Neodiprion lecontei: one gene and its partner. The protein of the gene in region 1 interacts with the protein of each later gene in a pairwise test. Links are inferred from orthologs where the notes say so. Each region holds a gene or a part of one and is shown in the gene's direction. Other genes may lie near its edges. The genes, in order: programmed cell death protein 2 and 40S ribosomal protein S2.

What was found.
Region 2: the proteins of programmed cell death protein 2 (region 1) and 40S ribosomal protein S2 interact in a two-hybrid assay, tested with the Drosophila melanogaster proteins (2 studies listed by BioGRID). The link is inferred for Neodiprion lecontei from reciprocal best matches to the Drosophila melanogaster genes Zfrp8 and RpS2.

Annotation. Positions count from the first base shown.
Region 1 is NC_060265.1:23,291,087-23,295,234, reverse strand, and holds programmed cell death protein 2, read left to right. Parts: upstream 1-2,045; 5' UTR 2,046-2,124; coding exon 2,125-2,503; intron 2,504-2,637; coding exon 2,638-3,058; intron 3,059-3,157; coding exon 3,158-3,260; intron 3,261-3,342; coding exon 3,343-3,516; 3' UTR 3,517-3,519; downstream 3,520-4,148.
Region 2 is NC_060265.1:4,273,209-4,277,550, forward strand, and holds 40S ribosomal protein S2, read left to right. Parts: upstream 1-1,969; 5' UTR 1,970-2,019; intron 2,020-2,482; 5' UTR 2,483-2,483; coding exon 2,484-2,849; intron 2,850-3,040; coding exon 3,041-3,535; 3' UTR 3,536-3,599; downstream 3,600-4,342. Other genes in the region: protein MAK16 homolog A, read right to left, coding at 32-178, 305-382, 489-626, 788-883, 988-1,300, 1,376-1,519, 1,598-1,644, 1,723-1,737. UniProt on the Drosophila melanogaster protein: Component of the ribosome, a large ribonucleoprotein complex responsible for the synthesis of proteins in the cell.

The DNA of each region.
Region 1 (4,148 bases):
ATTCGATCTAAACGATACTCCATTTTTTCAAACACACATCATTCTTCATCATTTGCGCTGTGGTCACTGACTTACGTTTTCGTTGGTTACCTGTTTCGAGTAAAATGTTTTTGTATCATAGTCTGCCTACTCGGAATACAGTATCGCGGTTGTTCCCGCCAACCCTAATGTTGTACGCATTATTTTAGTAAATGCTGGCAGACTATCGGTACATTAACATTTTGTAAAATTGATTAAAAACATCCTGTATGCCAATTAGCATTTTTCTAAGCGAGCTAAGCCAGCAGTTGATCAATACTTGTTGGCTGTTAAAAGATTGAAAATGATACATAACATCAGATGCATTTTGATTACGTTACGTTATGCCAGACATCGGAATTTTATCGATTTAACAATAATGTGAATAATTGAATACGTTCAAACCTCAGGTGAAACCACCATTTTAACGACACCATGGATAAATTTAAAAGTAGATTATTACATCATTTACGAAACACAATTCGATCTCGCGAGTGCCGAGTAAGTGATGGTTACCTGTCGCGATGCTCATTCCACTTTTAGCAACGTGTAAAATTTCTACCTTTAAGTAAGCTACGGTAAAATAAATTGCGAAAAAACAATTATTCGACTGAAAGTCAAGCACGTTGCGATCGTGAATGAGCCTATCCATGCAGCTAAGAAATCGAAGATTTGTGTAACAATTGTTACCGCCACGCCACGTGACAGAGGAATCCCAGGGAAAAATACCGATAACCTAACACGTGCAAACTCACCAACGTTGCCGAGAAATGGAAAAGTTACTCGGAAGTCTCTGCTTAAATCTGTAAAAAACAATAGTATTAATTTAACAAATTGGCTTTTCAGTTCGCAAATTAATTATTACAGTTTAGTTTCACATCCACTGCATGTTATGCAAGAACAAAAGTTTGGCCTGTTCGGCTCTATACGATGTACCACCTTGAATTATCAATCAATTAAAATAAGCATTGTTACCTCGACTCTGGGTTGCTCCACACTTTTATACGTAGTAGTTCTTGTAGCATCTCAGGTTCATTGGTGAAGCGTCGCACTTTGTAGATAATTCAGATCTTCACTAATCTCTTATAATGCACAAATCCGCACCGCAATAACACTCGATCCTACACTCACTTTTTGTACTGTATCTGTCTGTTTGAACCGACTGAATAACCTTGCTAACAATGCAACTGCGCATTTGCCGAAAATCAGCCAAAAAAATAATAATATTGACATTCGACGCACAGAGGACAAACAGATATCACTGAAATCTGAAGTTACACAAAACAATGAAAACTCGGGACACGAAATTCACCTTCACTTTCGCAGGACGTTTTTATTTCAGTAACTCAGTTTTTCTTCAGGCTACACGCTGCTCCTCGTGTATTATTCACAGATGAGCATGGTGAAAATACACTGATCGAACAACGTGACACAACCTGAACACCGCGGTCTGAACGTTGAACCGATGCTGGAAACACATGATTTCGCTCCGATTGCTCCGAAACAACTGATGCCGCACGGCGCTCTTCTCATCTCGTGGCCCTCACTCGATGGGTAGAGCGACAGAGAGGGCAAGAAAATTATTATCTTCTGTCCTTTAGAGAACCGATTTGAAGTCGTTCACGGGACGCTTGCGCCGTTGATACGTTATATTTTATACCTATATCTCTACGGTCTCAAGGGCCCGGTGAAAACCCACGTAAGCTACATGCGACGCGATCAAATGTTTAGAGCATTACCGTACATACGACGTCAGACGAAGTATGAATTCTCCGACCACTTACAGATATTTCTTAAACGGGATTTTCTTAACTGTTCAATTTCACTATGACGACGCTATGTTACCCACGTTTTGCACACGGTAGTAGTTGGTTAAGAAGAACTTCTCTCACCGCTGTGGTCAACTGCTTGGTTGATAATACGTGAAACTGCTAATACCTCCAAACCCGGCCAGACCCGGCAAACTGTTACGCAAAATAACCCGGGGTTATCCGTCTTTATATATCGGCTGAACGTTGGTTAAACCTTCGTTAAACACATGTACGAAGCTGTGGAGCACCGTGGAGTAACAAGTAGTTTAATTCGCTCAGTGAGTTGAGTTAAAGAATGGAAAATAAAATCGGTAGAATTGATATCGGATTTATAGAAGACTGCGAAGAATGGAGATTGGCGAGTAGATTCTTTCCTAGTAAAGTGGGGGGTAAACCTGCGTGGCTAAATTTGAAAGATATTCCTCGTAAGGAGGATGTTGAGTGTCAATTTTGCAAACAGCCATGCATATTTTTAATGCAAATCTATGCACCATACGAAAATAATGCAAAGGCCTTCCATAGGACAATATTTATTTTCATCTGCAGAAACCCGAAATGTTGTAAACCAAATAATAACAGTAATTTGAAAGTCTTTCGTTCGCAACTAGAAAAAGATAACAAGTTTTATCCATCCAACCCGCCAATTGAATCCGAAGAGTGGAGACCAGACATAAGTATGCGTTGGCATTCTAAATACTCCATTTTTTAACCATATTTCATTCGTAACCATCATATTTAAGTAATGATATTTTGTTTATCCTTTAATTCCTTGGATTATTCTATATTGTTCTTAAATTTGATTTTGCAGCCACAGAGACTTGGACAAAATCATGTTATGTATGCGGACTCAATGCACCTAGTCACTGTTCCAAATGCAAAAAAGTAAATTACTGTTCTCGGGAACATCAAGTTTATGACTGGACACATGGCCATAAGATTTATTGTGGAATGAGTTGGGATGCGGCAAAATCTAATTTGTTACTACCTGAGTATGAAATCGTTGTTGAAACAGAGGAAAACGATGATCAACTTTCAGGAAGTGAAAATGTGGTTGATGAAAATCAAGAAATAATAGAATATGAAAAATTAATAGTTCATAATGAGGCAGGCACGCTTCAAAATGAAGATAATGTTGATGCTGACTTACTGAAAATGTCTGCAGCAAATGAAGATGAAGTTTTTTTCGAATTTACCACTACAGTGAAGAAATATCCAGATCAAATCTTGAGGTATACTGGATCACAAATTGTTCCCTCTATCAGCAATAATAAGCAACTTGATTTAATATGTACATTATTATATTTATTTTATTTCATATTCCACCAAAGGTATGAGAGGGGTGGTAATGTCTTGTATATATCGTCCGAAAATCAAGTTCAAGAAATTCCAGATTGTCGAGAATGTGGTAGCGAAAGGCAATTTGAGTTTCAGGTCTGTATGGATAAAAATATAACTGAGAAAATCATTGCTTTCCAGTTTCTGAGTATATATATAATACAAAGTTCTTGTACAGATTATGCCACAGCTCTTGAATTACCTTCAATTTGAGGATACGCTGGAAAGTCTGGATTGGGGAATATTGGCTATCTTTACATGTAAAAACTCATGTGAAACAGCGAACGGTTACGTCACAGAATATGTGTGGAAACAAGATATTGTAGATGCAGAGAATAAAGAAAGTTTATGATAAGTGGTAGATAAAAAATATGTCTTTATTTCTTTCACATTGCATAAAGTTAAAAAAATATTTGGGAATAAGTATTTCAAGTTCCATAGATTGGACTACAACAAAAATACTTGCTTACACCACTTATCTTGGATTCATATACACATCATATTAAGTAAAAATTACTTATATTCCTATACTTAATACAAGAACGCTTTTTTCTTAATTATACGCAGCAAGTTCTTGAAATGAGCGTAATGATCATGAGAACAAATACATTATTTTTTAAATTGTCACAGCACCTTTATATAAAACTACTTGATTAATTAGATATACTTGAAACAGTAACTTTTGACACTACTTCCAGACTTTGCAAACAGAATGAAAGTTGTTCTGAAATCAATGGAAATTTTAGGATTTCACGTTTGGGAAGTTCACAATATTGCTTAAAAATATTTAATCAATGCAAAATAAATGGGCAATAAAATTTCTAGGTTTTTGATCACACTACCATAGACTACATGATGCATGGTGTATACATAACCGAAAAGGACCCCGTTTGAAATTATAGTAAAAAAGGACAAACTAAAAAAACTCCAACTACATAATATTCGTTCCAATATAAAAAACATGATTCGTCTCAAGTAAAAATG
Region 2 (4,342 bases), about 19 Mb from region 1:
TCTTAAGATATTATTATAATAAATTAATATCCTAAGCCCGCACCCTTCGTTGTGGCTCATTTTCCACTTCGTATTCAATTTCCACTCTCGGCCTTTTCTTGCTCTTTTTCCCAGGTTTTGATGATTTCGATGGTTTAGTGTTTTTGGTGAATTTCTTACTAGTGGAAGGTACGCCATCCTAAAATAAGCATAATTATCATATAACTATCAGAAAATTGACCCAGTTTTGACTTTATGAACTCAAGTAGGTCAGACAATCCGAAAATTAGTTTACCAAGATGAAAAAAGATAAAAACATGTATACCTCGATATCTGATGCATCTGATTCAAAACTGTCGGAAAGTTGCACCTCCTCTCTGCGTCCAGAATCGCTATCTTCATTCTGGAATATAATTTATTGACTTACTTAAACAACTGTGTTATGAACGTAAAATCAAAAACATGATTTATTATTTAATTCAATTTTCAAACTTATGATCGATTTTCACCTGAGAAGCTTCGTGTACATCAATGTCATCATCATCGTCGTCATCGTCGTCATCACTGTCAGCGACAACGAATTCTTGATTATTTTCCTCAGCTTCCAATTCCATTTCAACCTCCTTTTCAATTTCTTCTTCTTTTTCCTGTTCATGAGATTATTATAAGAATAATTAAAGTCTATATGAGAAATGAAGTGGTGACAGATCTTGCGAGTCTCTAAGCAGTATGACATGTCACTTTCTGAGAATTTTAAGTTTTCATTTGACCCAATATGAGAAATACTGGACAACTTGTTCACACTGACCTCTTCTTCACTTTCGGCCTCGCTTTCTCCTTCAACCTCAACTTCTTCAACAGCTTTCTCAAAAACTTTTTGAGGAAAGTTGTAGATGTCGTTATACTAGAAAGACAAGAACAGTAAAAGCAACGGCCCCATAATTATTTGAAAATACAATTTCAGAGTTAAATAATATAGAAAACACATAATTTGAAGATTTCATTTACCATTCCTTGTTTCAATCTCTCCATAAGCTGTTTCTCAATCGCTGTATCTAACTTTGCTGCAATGAGAGCTTTTTCTTCTCTACGTCTTTCTCTTCTCTCTATTTTTCTTTGCAGGGGTACAAGCTTCTTTTGCCTCCTCAGCCTCAGTTTTCTCATTCTAATAAGATACTGAGTGATTTTGACAAACCTCTGCTTACATTTAGCCTTAATAAATCCAGGCCAATAGATTAGGTTTTCGTTGATCTGATATATTGCTTTTTCAAAGTTTCTGGACAATTTGACTTTCTCCCACATATTGGTAGGAAATGCAACCCTGTAGAAGCAATAAAAACAACCATTAGTATTGCGATAGAATATTTACTAAGAAAAATTTAAACACTATGCTTACCTCTCCGCTGTTCTCATATACAAATAAATTATCCCATTTTCTTCTCGTACAGTCGCGTACTGGCTATTTGCAAGCGGGCAAGATGCACGGCTACAAAGCCCAGTCAGGTTGTATTCATTTCTACAAAACCTCTGACTTTTCGTGCTGAAAATTAACAATGTCGTCAATTACTAAGGATAAATGTTGATTCGTTCCAACTAGGTATTCGTTGATTCCACTTACTTGACTTTGAAGGAACAGAACGATTTGTTTATAATACTCCAGACAACCTAAAACATATTTTAGGTTAGTTTTGTTTCCATTTGAGAAACATCGTCTGACAGATTTAACCGTGTATCTTTACTCACGTCGTCGTGTTGCATTTTAGCTGAACTGCAATATCAAACGATCTATAATAATTAAATTTAACACTTGCGAAATGGCACATTAAATGCCGAACACAGCACGTGGGCTCCAGCGTACTTCTGAAAGAAAAGTTTTACAGGTTACCCGAGAGCCTCGAAAGCTTATGGCAGCATTGTTTCCATCTACCGCCGGCTAAGGCAACGACTATGGAGCGTTGGGACGATTCTAGCGCCGTCAGTAGATCCGGTGGCACAGGAAGTTCTTTCTTTTGGTGACCGTGTTTATCAAAGGAATCGAAAGTAAGTAACGCTGCTGATATTTGTTGAATTTACGCGTCATAACGTACCAAAAACTGTGAGAATCGTGAAATTAAGAATATACTGATGTTTCTTATTATGATTATAATCAGCCTGACTGGTTTTGCTTTGAAGTTTTTCATATATCATTCAATTTAGAATCGCATACGTACGCCACGTGTTCTAATGGAGCCGATTCGTTGTCAAGAGTTCCAATCTTCCCTTTTACTGAAAGCAACTTGAATTCTGTTTTAAACGAATCACGTCTGCGAAATTTCGTTTCTCTAAATTCACGATCAACTTCCAATTCTTTGAAAGGCGAGAAGCGTAATCACTTCACTAACTTGTATACACCATTTTCGAACTGCCGTGTAGCATGAAAATCAATATGTCTATAATTTTTTAGGAAATCAGAAATACATTTGTCACTATCTAGTGAGCTAAAGTCAACATTACTCTATTTCAGTATGGCGGACGCAGCTCCAGCCGCAGCCACAGCACCAGCACGTGGTGGTTTTCGTGGGGGATTTGGCTCTCGTGGAGCTGGGGGTGACCGAGGAGGTCCAAGAGGAAGAGGCCGTGGTGGTAGAGGTAGAGGCCGTGGTCGTGGCCGTGGTAAAGAAGATGCCAAGGAATGGATCCCAGTTACTAAATTGGGACGATTAGTAAGAGATGGGAAGATTCGTACTCTGGAAGAGATCTACCTTTTTTCTCTACCCATCAAAGAATTTGAAATCATCGATTTCTTCATTGGGCCGTCTCTGAAAGATGAAGTCTTGAAAATCATGCCTGTACAGAAACAGACTAGGGCTGGTCAACGTACTCGTTTCAAGGTAAAGCAATCTTTAATAAGTAATGTAACGATTAAACAAGTTGGCACGTGCTATAAACTGTATATAGTTGATTACCCGGTACAGTAGTACAATTTTATTATATAAAGTGCAGTAAAAGCTATGATCACTTTCTCCAGAGTGAAAAAAGTTCATCGTACATATGACAGTTCTTACTTAGTAATGTTTTACAGGCATTCGTCGCCATAGGAGATAGTAATGGTCACATAGGTCTTGGCGTGAAGTGCTCAAAGGAAGTTGCTACTGCAATTCGCGGAGCCATCATTTTGGCCAAATTGTCGGTTGTTCCTGTGCGTCGTGGTTACTGGGGAAACAAGATCGGAAAGCCACATACCGTGCCATGTAAAGTAACTGGAAAGTGTGGCTCTGTCCAGGTGCGACTAATCCCAGCACCTAGAGGAACTGGTATAGTTTCTGCTCCAGTCCCCAAAAAGCTTTTGCAGATGGCTGGTATCGAAGATTGCTACACCTCAGCCAGAGGATCGACTGGAACTCTTGGAAACTTTGCCAAAGCTACTTATGCAGCCATTGCTAAGACGTATGCTTACTTGACACCTGATTTGTGGAAGGAAATGGTCCTCACAAAGGCTCCGTATCAAGAGTACGCAGATTACTTGTTCAAGAATCATCGTCCAGTCACTGGTCCGCGTCCCACTGAAACTGTATAAAAAAAAAAACAAAAAACCTGACCTGGTTGTTACAGTAATAAATCTTCTTGGATAATTAAAATGACCACTTGTTTTGCTTAATTCTTTTCCTGTTGTACGTATCCTCTTCCTATAATATATTCAAAACTTTTATGTATAAAAAGAGATTTCAATTGACTGTGTTATGTTAATTTTCGTGCTAATATGATAACCTACTGCAAAACAAATGTTCTTCAAATTAATACGGGAAATTTTTATCAAATTTAGAGTTTTGGTAACCTATAGCCTAAATGACGGTAAATAATTTTGTGATATTAAATAATATATTCCAATAACATGTTTTTTTCAATTGACGTATGTTTGACCATGGGATTCATTTCATTTATATTCCTAATTATTATATTAGTTTATGCATGATTTGTTGCAGAAGGCCACATACAATACCTAAGAATTATCAGATCGCTATAAATATGACACCCTTCTGTCGGATTACGATTAGCTTAAGGTTCATTATATTCAAGCATACAATGACAAGATTTCATGAAAAAGTAATTAAAACTAGATTAGGTTGTATAAACGTTTACGCGGTCGGTAAAAATACCGGTTACATATTAATGAGCACGCTTATACTTAGAATTTACAGTGAGATACGTGTAGAAGCACAAGAACAATTCAAAATAACATTCTTACATATCTAATACAAACAATCGTTTTGCGAATATGACAGTTACCCAGTTAGGTACTGAACTGGAATACTCCAAATTGTATACATGCACACGAAAATATTTATATAAAATAGTAATGATTCTCGTTCACGCATCTTTTTTT